Linked DNA regions of Caenorhabditis elegans. The protein of the gene in region 2 interacts with the protein of the main gene of each other region in a pairwise test. Each region holds a gene or a part of one and is shown on either strand. Other genes may lie near its edges.

The links. Proteins that work in one complex are often made in the same cells at the same time.
Region 1: the proteins of lec-1 (region 2) and T07C4.3 interact in a two-hybrid assay, tested with the Caenorhabditis elegans proteins (2 studies listed by BioGRID).

Annotation. Positions count from the first base shown.
Region 1 is NC_003281.10:10,350,041-10,356,674, reverse strand, and holds T07C4.3 (ANK_REP_REGION domain-containing protein), read right to left. Parts: upstream 4,521-6,634; 5' UTR 4,454-4,520; coding exon 4,437-4,453; intron 4,242-4,436; coding exon 4,130-4,241; intron 4,074-4,129; coding exon 3,916-4,073; intron 3,873-3,915; coding exon 3,724-3,872; intron 3,674-3,723; coding exon 3,471-3,673; intron 3,427-3,470; coding exon 3,137-3,426; intron 3,090-3,136; coding exon 2,600-3,089; intron 2,548-2,599; coding exon 2,410-2,547; intron 2,369-2,409; coding exon 2,030-2,368; intron 1,982-2,029; coding exon 1,922-1,981; 3' UTR 1,558-1,921; downstream 1-1,557. Other genes in the region: umps-1 (Orotidine 5'-phosphate decarboxylase), read left to right, coding at 1-603, 656-707; spp-1 (Saposin B-type domain-containing protein), read left to right, coding at 1,158-1,289, 1,339-1,533.
Region 2 is NC_003280.10:13,194,634-13,200,977, reverse strand, and holds lec-1 (Galectin), read right to left. Parts: upstream 4,033-6,344; 5' UTR 3,870-4,032; coding exon 3,825-3,869; intron 2,945-3,824; coding exon 2,369-2,944; intron 1,737-2,368; coding exon 1,500-1,736; 3' UTR 1,265-1,499; downstream 1-1,264. Other genes in the region: btf-1 (BTAF (TBP-associated factor) homolog), read right to left, coding at 1-147, 201-305, 679-807. UniProt on the Caenorhabditis elegans protein: Binds galactose.

The DNA of each region.
Region 1 (6,634 bases), on a different chromosome or scaffold from region 2:
GATGATCGAGCTCGCTGGTCCATTTGTGCTGGCGATCAAGCTTCACGCCGACGCTATCACCGATTTCAACGAGGAATTCACGAGGAAGCTGACGACGATGGCAAATGATATGGACTTTATCATTTTCGAGGATCGGAAGTTTGGCGACACTGGAAACACGAACCTTCTTCAGCTCACTGGAGCCCAGAAAATCGCCAACTGGGCGGATGTTGTGACTGTTCATGCCGTACAAGGAAGTGACAGCATTGCAGGAGTCTTCAGGAAGCTCGCCAAAGATCCGACTTACAGGCTCAGTGGAGTTCTCCTCATCGCGCAGCTCAGCACCAAAGGATCTTTGACTGCGCTGGAAGGATACACCGAGACCGCCGTCAAGATTGCCAACGAGAATCGTGACGTGATTTCTGGATTCATCACTCAGACGAGAGTGTCTGCTTGCTCGGATCTTCTCAATTGGACGCCCGGTGTGAATCTCGACGCGAAATCCGACTCGGCCGGTCAGCAGTGGAGAGGTGTCGACGAGGCGATCGAAGTACAGCAGAACGACATCATCATCGTCGGAAGAGGCGTCACGTCGTCCAGTGAGCCCGTTCAGCAGCTCAAGAGGTTTGTTTTTTTTTTTTTAATTAAATTTTTAAATGTCAATTTTCTCTTTCAGATATCGACAAATCGCCTGGGATGCGCTCACGAGAAGCGACGATAGCATTTGAAAGTTGAAAAATCCGGAGAGCCTATTTGTAAAGAAGAAATGTGAATATTTATCTAATTACGTATTTATTTAACTTTGTTGATTTTGTTCAAGCTTCCCCAGAATTGTTGAAATAAGTAAATTGATTGCCTCCATCTTCCTCAAATTATCAAGAAATCACATGCCCACACCATTTACTTTACTGCTAACCTGATTAATCAATATTTTCTCCGTCAAGGCGAAAAGCTACTCCTCTAAGCGATCTTATCAGTTCGAAAAATCGGCATCTGATGTGTGAACGACCCGGTGTGTATTCTATAATGTCCTTTGATCTTTTCCTCCATGCTGAAAACATCAGAAACGATTCGATTCCTTATCAGTGCCGCCGCGAAGTTGATAAAAGACACGAGCATCACTGCTCCGGGTGCATTTTCGCTTCATTTCTCCAGTTTTTCATCTTAAAATCTACAGAATGACTCGCATTCTTCCGTGTCTTTTCCTTGTCTTGCTCGCCGCTGCTCCACTTCTAGCCAATCCAGCTAACCCACTCAATCTCAAGAAGCATCACGGTGTTTTCTGTGATGTCTGCAAGGCTCTCGTCGAGGTTTGTGCTCCAAATATCTCCAATTTTCCTCGTTATTCACATATTTCAGGGTGGAGAGAAGGTTGGAGATGATGATCTCGATGCATGGCTTGATGTGAACATCGGAACTCTTTGCTGGACTATGCTGTTGCCGTTGCATCACGAGTGTGAGGAAGAGCTGAAGAAGGTCAAGAAGGAGCTGAAAAAGGATATTGAGAACAAGGATTCTCCAGACAAGGCGTGCAAGGATGTTGATTTGTGCTAAGAATAATAAATGTTTCCTTCAAAATCATCAAAATATTCTTTCATTTAACAAAAACAGAAACAACGGCGAAATTGGTTTGTGCGCGTGGAATTTTAGAGTTATAAAAATTAGAACTCGTGTTGGTTCTAGTTGTTGAATGGGGGAAAAGTTCTCAGCTACCCTGAGAACACGTAAACTAGAAAACCACACACGGTAGAAGGGAGGGGGTATAAAATTAGAAATTAGAATATAATTGTCTCGAAACACACACACACATACAAAAGAAAGTTATCTGGATAAAATATAGAGTGTGGTGAGGACTGATAATTTACAGCGGCGATTTAATAGCACCAATTAAGCACTATGACACGTGGATGTGAGGAGTGATTGTGAGATGTGGAGGTGAAGTCTACTGGACAACGCAGCATCCTCGCATGAATCGAACGTGGCGGCGGCGGAGTGCTCCGAGCTGAAAATTTAAAATAAATATACTTTCTTGAGCAATATTTATAATTACCGCTTGAGGGGAAGGTTTCGCCTCCAGTGCCATATGTTGAAGCTCCTCGGTTCTGCTGAGAATCCTGACATCATCGTCGACGCTGTCCACTTTTGCGATTGGCACATGTTGCTTTGACACTATCGCCTGCAGTGCTGCAATGCGATCTTTGATTGTGGGATCCGCACGATTGCCGTCCAGCTCGACGTTGACTACTACAGTCTTAGCCTTCTGCTCTTCTTTTACAGGGGACAACTGCTCGGCACTTTGTGATACTTTCATCGACTTGTCGATCATTGTCATCGGTTCCGCTTCATCTTCACTGCACAATGAGTATGGAACATCTGCGTCACTCTGAAACTAATTTTAATAATTTAATTCAGAAAATCGCATCAGCAAACCTCCACGGAATCTGCTCGTTTTCGGTGATCATCCTTCAATGGAGTCTCAATGACTGTGATGATCTCCGAGGATCCTGGTCCACTGCCATTACTGTCGACTGTTTTGAGCTGGAAACCATCGGTATCTTTGACTCCGAGCTAAAAATTTCAGTATTAAAAAACAAAAACTTGATTATTAAAATATTAGTACCTCTGCAAATAGATCCTCATTCAATTTAGTCTTGGATGCAAAGTACTCTCGATCCAATGAAGACATTGAAGATTGTTCTTTGGCACAGAACGCGTTCTCAGTTTCCTCTTTAACTGGATTAGGAGTAGTGACTTTTTGTCTGGCTTCTTGCTCGGCGACGAATTCGGCCAGCTGCTCCTTCCCGTTCGCAATGATGCTACTGTGAGTAGAAGTGCTTCTGAAGATGACATTTGTCACTTCAGTCTCCGCGTGTTCCTCCTTCTTTGACGCCGAAAACACTTCATCCACTCTAGGCGCGGAGCCTCCAATTTCTTCGAGAACCTGCGCATAAATGGATTTTGGCTTGTGCTCTGCAAAGTTGACGCCGGCATCGAACTTCTCGATGAGATGCTTGATGGGTTTCCCGTTGGCGAGTTCTGCGGACACCATAGTTTTTCTTTCGGCGGGCAACGGCGGCGTCGCGTGCACTTTCGCCTCTTCGGAAGCGTTTCTGAAAAGTAAAAGTGTTGATGGTGGCGGACGATAAGGGAAACTTACTGTGTCATGGAAAGAGTTGCATCCGCATGTGAAACTGATTGAATAACTGCTTCAAAGGCGGCATCAATTGATTCCGTGAGCACTATCGGAGCCACAATCTCTTGAGCCTTGAAAAGCTTCTCAACTTTTGCCTCCTCCACAATAATCACATCAGCAACCATTGCACTGTCGACCTGATCGCTTTCAGCAGCGATTCTCTGATCTTCTTCAAAGACATCGTCTTCCATCTCCATCTTAGAACCGTCAACCTCATCCTTATCCTCAACCGGCGATGAATTTTCCGAGCGAACCTGAAAATTTGAATATACTAAAAATTGGGTATACTTCCACCTACATCCTTCCCAGACACCCATCCTTCGTCATCAGTCATTGAAGACTGTTGTGCCAGAGACCTTTGCGATGGAGAGTTGTCGGACTTGCTTAAATCCGAAGTTGGACCAGCTGCTTTGTCATCGCAGTCTGTTGAGATCGCAATCGGATTCCCACTTGATGGTGATACAGCTTGTGAGTGATCGGATGACGTGTCTTCAGTGATAACTAGAAAAATTAGCTACTAAAATTATTTTTCTGAAACTAGGGGTGCCTACCGTCGGTTTCGACCGATGTGGACATCAATGGAGGGAGATCGTCATCGTAAACTTCCTGTGGATCGGCGATCAGGCGAAACCTGCACATCATACTCCCATCCATCGATGTCATGAACCTTTTGACCTTTGGAAGCTCGAAGATTTCTCGTCTAAAAGTGAAATTAGATTTAAAAAAAACGAAATTCAGTCTACTTGGTCAAGTTCTTCGATGAGAAGATCGCATTGAGCTCTTCGGCGGTGAGTTGACGTTGGGTCTCCTTATGGTAAACCTTTCTCAGATCATGCCATGTGAACTCTTGTCCTTGCTTTCCTAGTCTGGAAACTGCCACGATAAACGTGGTGAAACCATCCTGAAAAATAGAAAATTATTATTTGAAATCGAAATTGATAATCATTAATCACTTACAACGCTTGGCTGGAATTTTCCAGATGCAGTCGACTGTGTGCGATTTTTCTTGCTGCCGACGGAAGCGGTGCTCTTGTTTCGCTTAGCGTGTCTTCCACGACCCATTTGAGTGCTGAAAACCGAAATAAATGAAGAATACATAGTGACCGGGGACAGATGCGAAAGACAGCCGGCGGAGGTACCAGCTCGTTCAAAAAAGTTATTTTTTGGACACAGACATCTGTCATTAGTGACTCACACAATCGAAGCCAATAACGTCGACAGATGCAACAAAAAACCGTGCTCGAGCAGATTTCTCTTCTCTTACCTTTGAGAATCCGTCATTTTCGCTAGTGATTACTTTCCTACTCGCTTTTATTTCGAAGAGATTTCGTAGTGAGTGCACAAACCTGGAATTCGAAACTAAAAAAGTTGAAAAAAATGAATAAAATAAACAAAGGAAGTTAGAAGCAAGCAACGGGAGCACAAAATTGGGGAGTTTAGAGGTATCTGATTTCAAATATACTGAAAGCATAATCTTTGAGGTTTTTCAATTGGGAAACAGGAGACGTTTACACATAGGCGGCGAGCGATCTCCCAAGAAGGCGAGATTTTGTGGTGAAGATAATCCGAAATGTGGAACAGTGTGCGAAAAATGCGGAAAACACGCGCGTTTTTCGGTTGCAAGTTATTCTCAACAGCTGTTACAACAATTTTATGGATTAAAACGCGGGAAATGTTGCGAAAAGTTCAAAAAATTGGAGAATTATGATAAAAATCCACCAAAATTCAAATAATAAAGATAGGCGGCCTAAATGGGTACGCAAACACGCAAACACCGAAGACGCACAGAAAAGGATCTACCGTAGTTGAGTGAAAATTTAATTTTTATTAAAAAATTAAATTAAATTTTATCAGAACTATTTAGTTTTCCATCCGAAAAAGCTATATTTTTATTTTAAAAAGAAATCCGATTGAAAAGTGAAAATTGTCTATTTTCCGGAAATCTCAGCAGCACGCTTGAACTCTCTAAACCCATTGTTAACCGAGGTAGAAGTGGAGACAAATGATTGGAAAAGTTCCTGATCCGTTAAGCAAACAAAACTATGTGTGTTTCTCGTTGAACAAGCATGAACATCGTTACTTTACTAAATACTCTACTGTTTAAATCGTTTTGCGCTGGGATTGCGTGTGAAAATTGGCAGAATTCGAGTGTCACCTGGAACAAAGTTGGGAAATGATGGAAAAGCTGTTGTAGAAAAACTAAAACCGAAACTTAAAATATCCTGTAAAACTATAATATATAAAAATACTTGCTCAATGGGAAAAAATACGGTACCCGGTCTCGACACGCCAATTTTGTGAATTACGAACCGATGTGCGCCTTTAAAGAGTACTGTAATTTCGAACTTTCGTTGCTGCGGAATTTTCATCGATTTTTCATAATTTTTCGTTGAAAATCTTTATTTATTTAAAACTAGAATTTTAAAAAAATTAAAAATCAATAAATTGTAATAACTTGTAATAAAAACTATGAAAAATCGGCGAAAATATAAAAGCAACAAAAGTGTAAAAGTACAGTACACTTTAAAGGTGCACACCCGTTTTTATTTAACAAAAAATTGTCGTGTCGAGATCGGATACCGTATTTTTCACAAAATTTCATGCCTGGGCAATTTTTTTAAAGGGAGTTACGGTAATAAAATAAAACTTGAGTGTTTAAAAAAGCAGAAAGCTGAGGAATTACAGAAAAAAACCAAAAAATTATTATAGCAACTAATTGGACTGAAAAACAATTTTCGAAATTTTCGCGGCGAGACCCAACTTTTTCAAATAACTTTTAAAAATATACAAATTAATTACCAATGCACAAAACACAAAAAAAATTAAAAAGTGTCAAACGTGGCGACGAACTTGTAAAAGAGTGACACATCTCGAAATAACTCGGGCTCCTAGCGCCGTTTGTTCACCCTCTGTGGGGCAAACGTAGACTCAAGTGGTGGTGGTAGAGAAGAAGCTGCTCTTTTAAAACAAATCTCATATATACATGTACTGTTAACCACTGATCGAACATGACCGACACAGTACTTTGTCTCTCTGTGGGGTTATGCAAATTCGCCGCCCGGGCGTACTTCAAACTCGGCTTTGACCATATAAACATAATGATAATCAAGCCGCGCGAGGAGCAAAACTGTAGTGAAATTGTGTGTATGGGAGGCTGTGATGGGAGAGAACAAAAGTGTAAGAGGGGTGATGACACACTGTGTAATTCTCATGCAGAATCTTCCACGTCATCATATTGAGCAGGTCGACTTTGCCGATTTTTCGCAATTTCAAAATTGAAAGAACTATAGTTTTTCACAAGAAAGTCTAGGCCATAACGGAGAAAATTGAAGGAACGGAAAGAAGAAAAACAGTTCAAAAAAGAAATTGCGTGGCCTAGAACGTGTGAAACCTCGGCCCCGCATTTAGTCTTGGTGGCAGAAAGAACCAATTGAAGAAACTCCGCCACCGTTTTTTTTCGGC
Region 2 (6,344 bases):
TTCCCGCTGTTTCTGATTATTTCCTCGATCTTTTTCCGACTTTTTCAGTGCCGACTCATCATCACTTAACAGTGGCTTGAACGATCGTAAAACGTTCATCACAACGATGCTTCTGACATTTTCCGATACCGATGAGTCTTCTTCATTCTGAAAAATCGATTTTTTTAAAGAATTTCATAACTCAAAAAGCTCAGAAAAACCTTCAATCGTTCGAATTCTGGAGCATTCTGAAGTGTCGCCTGCAACGCTTTTCCAGCAGATACTCGTGTCTCCCAGAGTTGAGATGCCGCGTGTTTTTTGAGACTCTGAAATTAAGATTATTTATATATTTAAAGTATTTAAAAAAGATAAACCCCTGAAAAAAGTGAAAAAATCACTGAAAATGAGTGAAAAATCACCGGAAAAAAGCGAGCTTATATGTTTTTTTCACTCGAAATATCGAAAATTAATTATAAAATTCAGTATTTCTGGGGCATTTTGAGTATTTTAAACGAAGACTAACGGTTTTTGAGTCTAAACCGTTAGTACACCTTCAAAATACTCAAAATAACCCAAAAATACTGAATTTTATAATTAATATTCGGCATTTCGAGGGAAAAAAATATATAAACTCGCTTTTCACCCGTGATTTTTTACTTTTTCTTGTGATTTAAAAAAAATATATATTAATTAACCAACATTTTTCACGTCTTCACTTAAAATTGACAATTTCCCGAACGCAGCGGCCGCTTCATTTCGAACATTCGGATTTTTCGCTTCGAGTAGAGGGTCAAGCTGAAGAAGACGAGCCGACGTGTCGGCGCTCATCGGAAACTGAAAATTTTCAATTTTTCCGGCTTATTTGAGAGAAAAAACAGCGAAAAATGCATTTAAATCCAAAAATCCAAAAAAAAATGGGAGACACCACGCATTCCAGGGAACAAAAATCCTGAGGAAAACTTTAGAAACCCGAGTTTATAGCAGGATTATTCAGGATTATTCAAGATTTCGAGCTTCACATTATACATTATAATAATTATTGATTTAACAATAAGAAGAAAACTAAATTTTGTAGGCAAACCTGATGGGAAACACGCGCGGTTTTCACGATTCGACTTCCGTGCAATTTGTAGTGACTCGAGGAAAACGCGCTCTCCTGGACAAAAACGGCGGTACTTTCAAATATAGTTTTTTCGAGTTTTCGCTTACTTTTCGCGTTTTTTTCGCAGAACTTTTCATGATGATCCGCTTTCAAAATATGAAACCTGAAATGACAACGAGAAAATCTGCTATCCAATTTTATTAAAATACAATGTGGGGGGTGAGAAAAGATACAAAAAGAAAAACGCGGGATTACAGTTCAGTTGCCGGTGCGAAATAATAGAGAAATGATTCTTTTTGGGGGGGGGGGGGGGGGAGAGGGGCAGTAGACTTTTGGAAGATTGATCAGTGAGAGAGAGAGAAATGGGAGAGCTGGATAACAGAAGAAAGAGGGGGAACAGGGGATATCAATACATAATTTATTGGATTTGAATTCCAGACAGCTCAATGTCTCCAGAGATCTGAAGCCCGGCAATGTCGTGTGGATCGGCGCGGTGAGCGAACGAGATGTAGCGTTCTCCGTTGACGAACACCTGGAACGCGTACTCCTCGTTTTGGATGACCAAGTCGAAGCCGACTCCCTTCTCGAATGGGTTCTTTCCCTCGCGCTCCTCATTTCCCCATTCGTTGGCGGCAAGAGAGTTGCGGATGACGTGCTGGAAGAAAGGAAATAAAGAATTTGGTCAAATTTCTATTGAAATCGATTTTTTTTTGTCCTTTCACCAATTTTACCAATAGAAATAGACACATGCAAAACTTTTGTGTCTCATAAAATTGTTTGTTGAAGAGCGCCATATTTGCCCAAATGTAGCAAACAAAATGCGGGTCTTTTTGTGTATGTGTGTGTGAGGCACCACAGAAAGGAGAACAGGTGAACAAGGAGAACACAGAAACCACACCCATTTTTCCGTGCCGCAAGTTTTCCGCAAATTTTGAGGCACCACGTTTTCAGGATCTGGGGCACCGTGCCAACTGCGGTTTTTGCAGTTTTCTCTCGCTGAAAAACGAAACAACGATACTCCGATATGACGCGTCGCGTGTTGTTTAGCGTTCAGAATAATGTTTTTTTGAAATAAAAACTTTTGGAAAACGCTAAACAACACGCATAACATCGGAGCATCGTTGTTTCGTTTTTCATCGAGAGAAAACTGCAAAAACCGCAGTTGGTACGGTTCCAGATCCTGAAAATGTGGTGCCTCTCGCGGCACGGAAAAATGGACGTGGTTCCTGTTCTCCTTTGTCGTGGTTCTCCTTTCTGTGGTGCCTCGTGGCATATATCAACCCTTACCTTCTCATCGAAACGTGGGTTGAAGTGGAACGAGATGTCTCCATTCTTGCGGAGAAGGTTGACGTGGAAGCGCTTGGCCTTCTTCTCAACGGTTCCAAAGACGAGGAGGCTCTTTCCGACTGGAAGTCCGTTGGCGAGTCCGCTCTCGTATGGTACTGGGTAGTACTTTCCTCCCCAGTGAACGTGGTTCAAGTAGAGATCTCCGTCAATCGAGAGGTGAGAGATTGAGGAGAGTGGCAGACGGTGCTCGTAGTCCTTGAACTCCTTGTGGTCGACGATGATCTGGAAGCGATCGTCGTGAGCACGGATGCGAATGTCGAACGAGTCTCCCTTCTTGATTGGGTTCGACTTGCGCTCTTCCTTTCCCCATTCTCCATTCGAGAACGAGTTGAGCACAATTTTGCCCTCATCGAAGCGGACAGAGACGTGGAGTGGCACATCGTTTCCGGAGAAATCCGCGGTCTTCGAGTGAAGGTTGATGGTGAAGCGTTGCGACTCGTCGATCGTCGATCCCTTGACGATGAGCGTCTGTCCGGGCTCGAACTTCTCCTGGAGCACTGAGCGGTATGGTACTGGCTGAAAAATTTAAAAATTTTAATTTTTTAAAAAATTAATTGGATTATTACGGGAACACATTTTTCTGATAATGCGTACTGCACAACATATTTGACGCGCAAAATATCTCGTAGCGAAAACTACAGTAACTCCTTAAATGCCTACTGTAGCGCTTGTGAAATGCCGTAAATCGACACACAAGCGCTACAGTAGTCATGTAATGAACAATGAACTACTGTAGTTTTCGCTACGAGATATTTTGCGCGTCAAATATGTCGCGCGATACGCATTCTCAGAATTTTGTGTTTCGGTAATAGATTTATAAGTAGAGTTTTCTAGAACCATTTCTTCTTCCATATGCCATTTTAAAATGTTCAGTAGGGTAATCATGTAGAAATATATGCTGGGGGGGGGGGGGGACCTCGCGTGTCACACACTGGTGAACAGAATAAGCGAGCAAGAAGCGAGACCCGAAAAAGCGGAAGAGCTGTTATCCAATCTGCATCCACCAATCTTCGCGCTCCCCAGACTTTCATACAGCTGACGACGACAAAAAATGCCTTTTCTACATTGTCTAGTTGCTTTCTATTTTTTAGCTCCATTTTGCTCCATTTTGCACAAAATTTTGTTGTGATGTGCCGCCGAGCAAACACACCAGAAATATGGCGGGAATCTCGAATGTTGATAATGGAACCGAAGGTGTGGGCGAGCAGATAACGAGAGGAATGTGTCACTTTAGTGGCAACCAACAAACTTGGAATGCTCTCCATTTTCGAGCTGGTGTCAGAATGTCCCATGTCAGTTTGATCTCCGAAAAGTTGCAGGAGAAAAAATTCCCGCTTTTTTTTGTAGATCAAACATGGGACAGCCTGACACCCCCATGTATAGAGGCATGCTTTACCTTGTTCTGCTCGTACCAGCGAAGGAATTGAGGAGTGGAAGACATTAGTGTAAAGAGTTGAGCTGAGGAAAACTGAAAGCGATCGTTCAGGACGCGAGTCAAACGAAGAACTGACGACCGGTAAACAGTTTCAACAAAAGCTGAGAGTGTGAGAGGAGAGAGAAACCAGACAGTTGAACAGTCATAACATTCGCAAGCGCCGCCCAATATTGAGTCAGAGAGAGCATGGAATTATGGGAGGGTGACAGCATGTGCGCGAGGCGACATTGAAATGTTTCTTTTTGTGCATCTGTCTGTGTCTCCGACTTCTCGTACAGTCTCTCGCATACGACTTCTCGCCATGATTCATCGTGTCGTTGTAGGCGAAGAAAACAGTGAAATTGAAAAAAGGAACGGAACTTTCTGGAGAGGAAGAGATCGATAATGAGTGTTGGTACAGTTTTCAGCTCGAAATTTTTTTTGTATGATTTGTTGAAACTCAAACAACAAAAGTTTTCGGAGCAAAATCCATGCTCAATATTTGCGTCTTCGCATTACTGTTTACCGCATTTCGAGTCTGGGCGTCACGTGCAAACTTCAACTTCAAAGGCTCGAAATGCACTTCAAAAACCAGGGGGTGGGCGGCAAACGATTTTTTTCCGGCAAATCGGCAAATTGCCGGAATTGAAATTTCCGGCAAATCGGAAAATTGCCGGAATTGAAATTTGCGGAAAATCGGAAAATTGCCGGAATTGAAATTTCCGGCAAACCGGCAATTGCCGCCCACCCCTGCTTCAAACGTTGAAAAGGTGTTGCACAACTAGGGCCAAGGCGAGAAAAAATGTGGCATTGATCTTAGGCAGGTTCTCATGGTGTACTAGTGTTTTGTCCAAATTGCCAAATTGCCAAACTGCCATTTGTTGTTCTATATTCGAGAAAAAGGAGGTTACTACTCGTCGGAAGATTTTCAAGAAGGCACAAGACATCGAAGAGAAAGGACATTCATGATGAGACACGGCTTAACATAGAAGACTGCAGAAGCAATTTGAAATTCGAGTGGTAAGCATCTTAAAGATCAACTGGAAATTGTTTCAAGCTGGAAAAAAGAGATTAAAAATGCCTTTTGAGCTTTTGATGGAAACATTTTGGTCTCACTTTAGCTGAAGACGTTTCTAAATTCGAAGCTTTTCAACCTGATTCTGTAGAATTGCTGCAAACTGGACGTTATGCAAAAATCGTTTCTTTAAAATTGTTCACTTAACGATCAATCATCAGTGTCAAGAACTACAATTTCGAAATCAACTATCAACAAATATATTTTTTGCGGCGTCTGATCTTCCTTCTGATTCAACACGTAGTAGTAGTAGTCCAAACATCGGTGGTGAACTATAGAGGTGACACTTACAGAAACGGGCAAATTCTCCAAAAGTTTCTGTCCTTTCTTTTTCATTATTTCTTACGCTTGACTGGGGCCGCCGCCGCACTTTCATCACCCCCGTACTGATACGGTTTTTTTTCTATTCTTTTCTTTTTTGTTGTTGTTACAACACCGTTAGAAACGAAACTCACGTAGGACTTTGGCTCTTCGGCGGACATTTTTTGCTGGTGGTGGCTTTTCGGTGGTTCCTGAAATTAAAATTGAATTTTAAAAACATGATTATTTAGAAGAAGAAGATGAAAAAGCGAGAAAATTTCCGACGACGACGACGACAATGGCAATAAAAGTGTGGTCTCTGGGCGCAATAGAGAGAGAGAGAGAGAAGGGCAGGAGAGACGCAGCATTTCGTAAATAAAGTCCGAGAGACAACAGACGTGTAAACAAGAGACAAAAGAGCACAGAACGTGTGTGAGAGATGCAGGAAAATTTTGTGTGTGTGTGTGAGAAATGACGCTCTCTCTCTCTCTGAAGAAGAAGAAGAAGAAGAAACCATGGTGATAAAATTGTGAGAAAATATGGGAGGGGAGAAGAGATTTGTTTATGATGAGGTGGTGACACATTTATGATTGAATTTGAATACATATTCTTTCTAGGCTTTTATGAGGTACTGTATATAGGCGGTTTATGTCAATATTTGAGCAAGAATTTCAAAATTTTTCTTAAAGGTTCTAAAGTTAATTAGAATTTAAAAAAGTTCAATTTAAAAATTTGTGAGTGGGCGACAAACGAGTTTTTTCCGGCAAATCGGCAAATTGTCGGAATTTGAAAGTTCCGGCAAATCGGCCAGCCGGCAAATCGCAGAATTTGCCGGAATACCAAAAATGAAAATTTCCGGCAAATCGGCAAAGTGCCGGAATGACAATTTCCGGCCAATCGGCAAATCGGCAAATTGCCAAAATGAAAATTTCTGGCAAATTGGGAATTTGCCGGAATTGACAATCTCCGACCAATCGGCACATCGGCAATTTGCCAAAATGAAAATGTCCGCCAAATCGCCAAATTTGCCGGAAAACCAAAAAAGAAAATTTCCGGCAAAACGGGAAACCGGCAATTTGTCGGAATTGTCAATTTTCGGCAAATCGGCAATTTGCCGGAACTGAAAA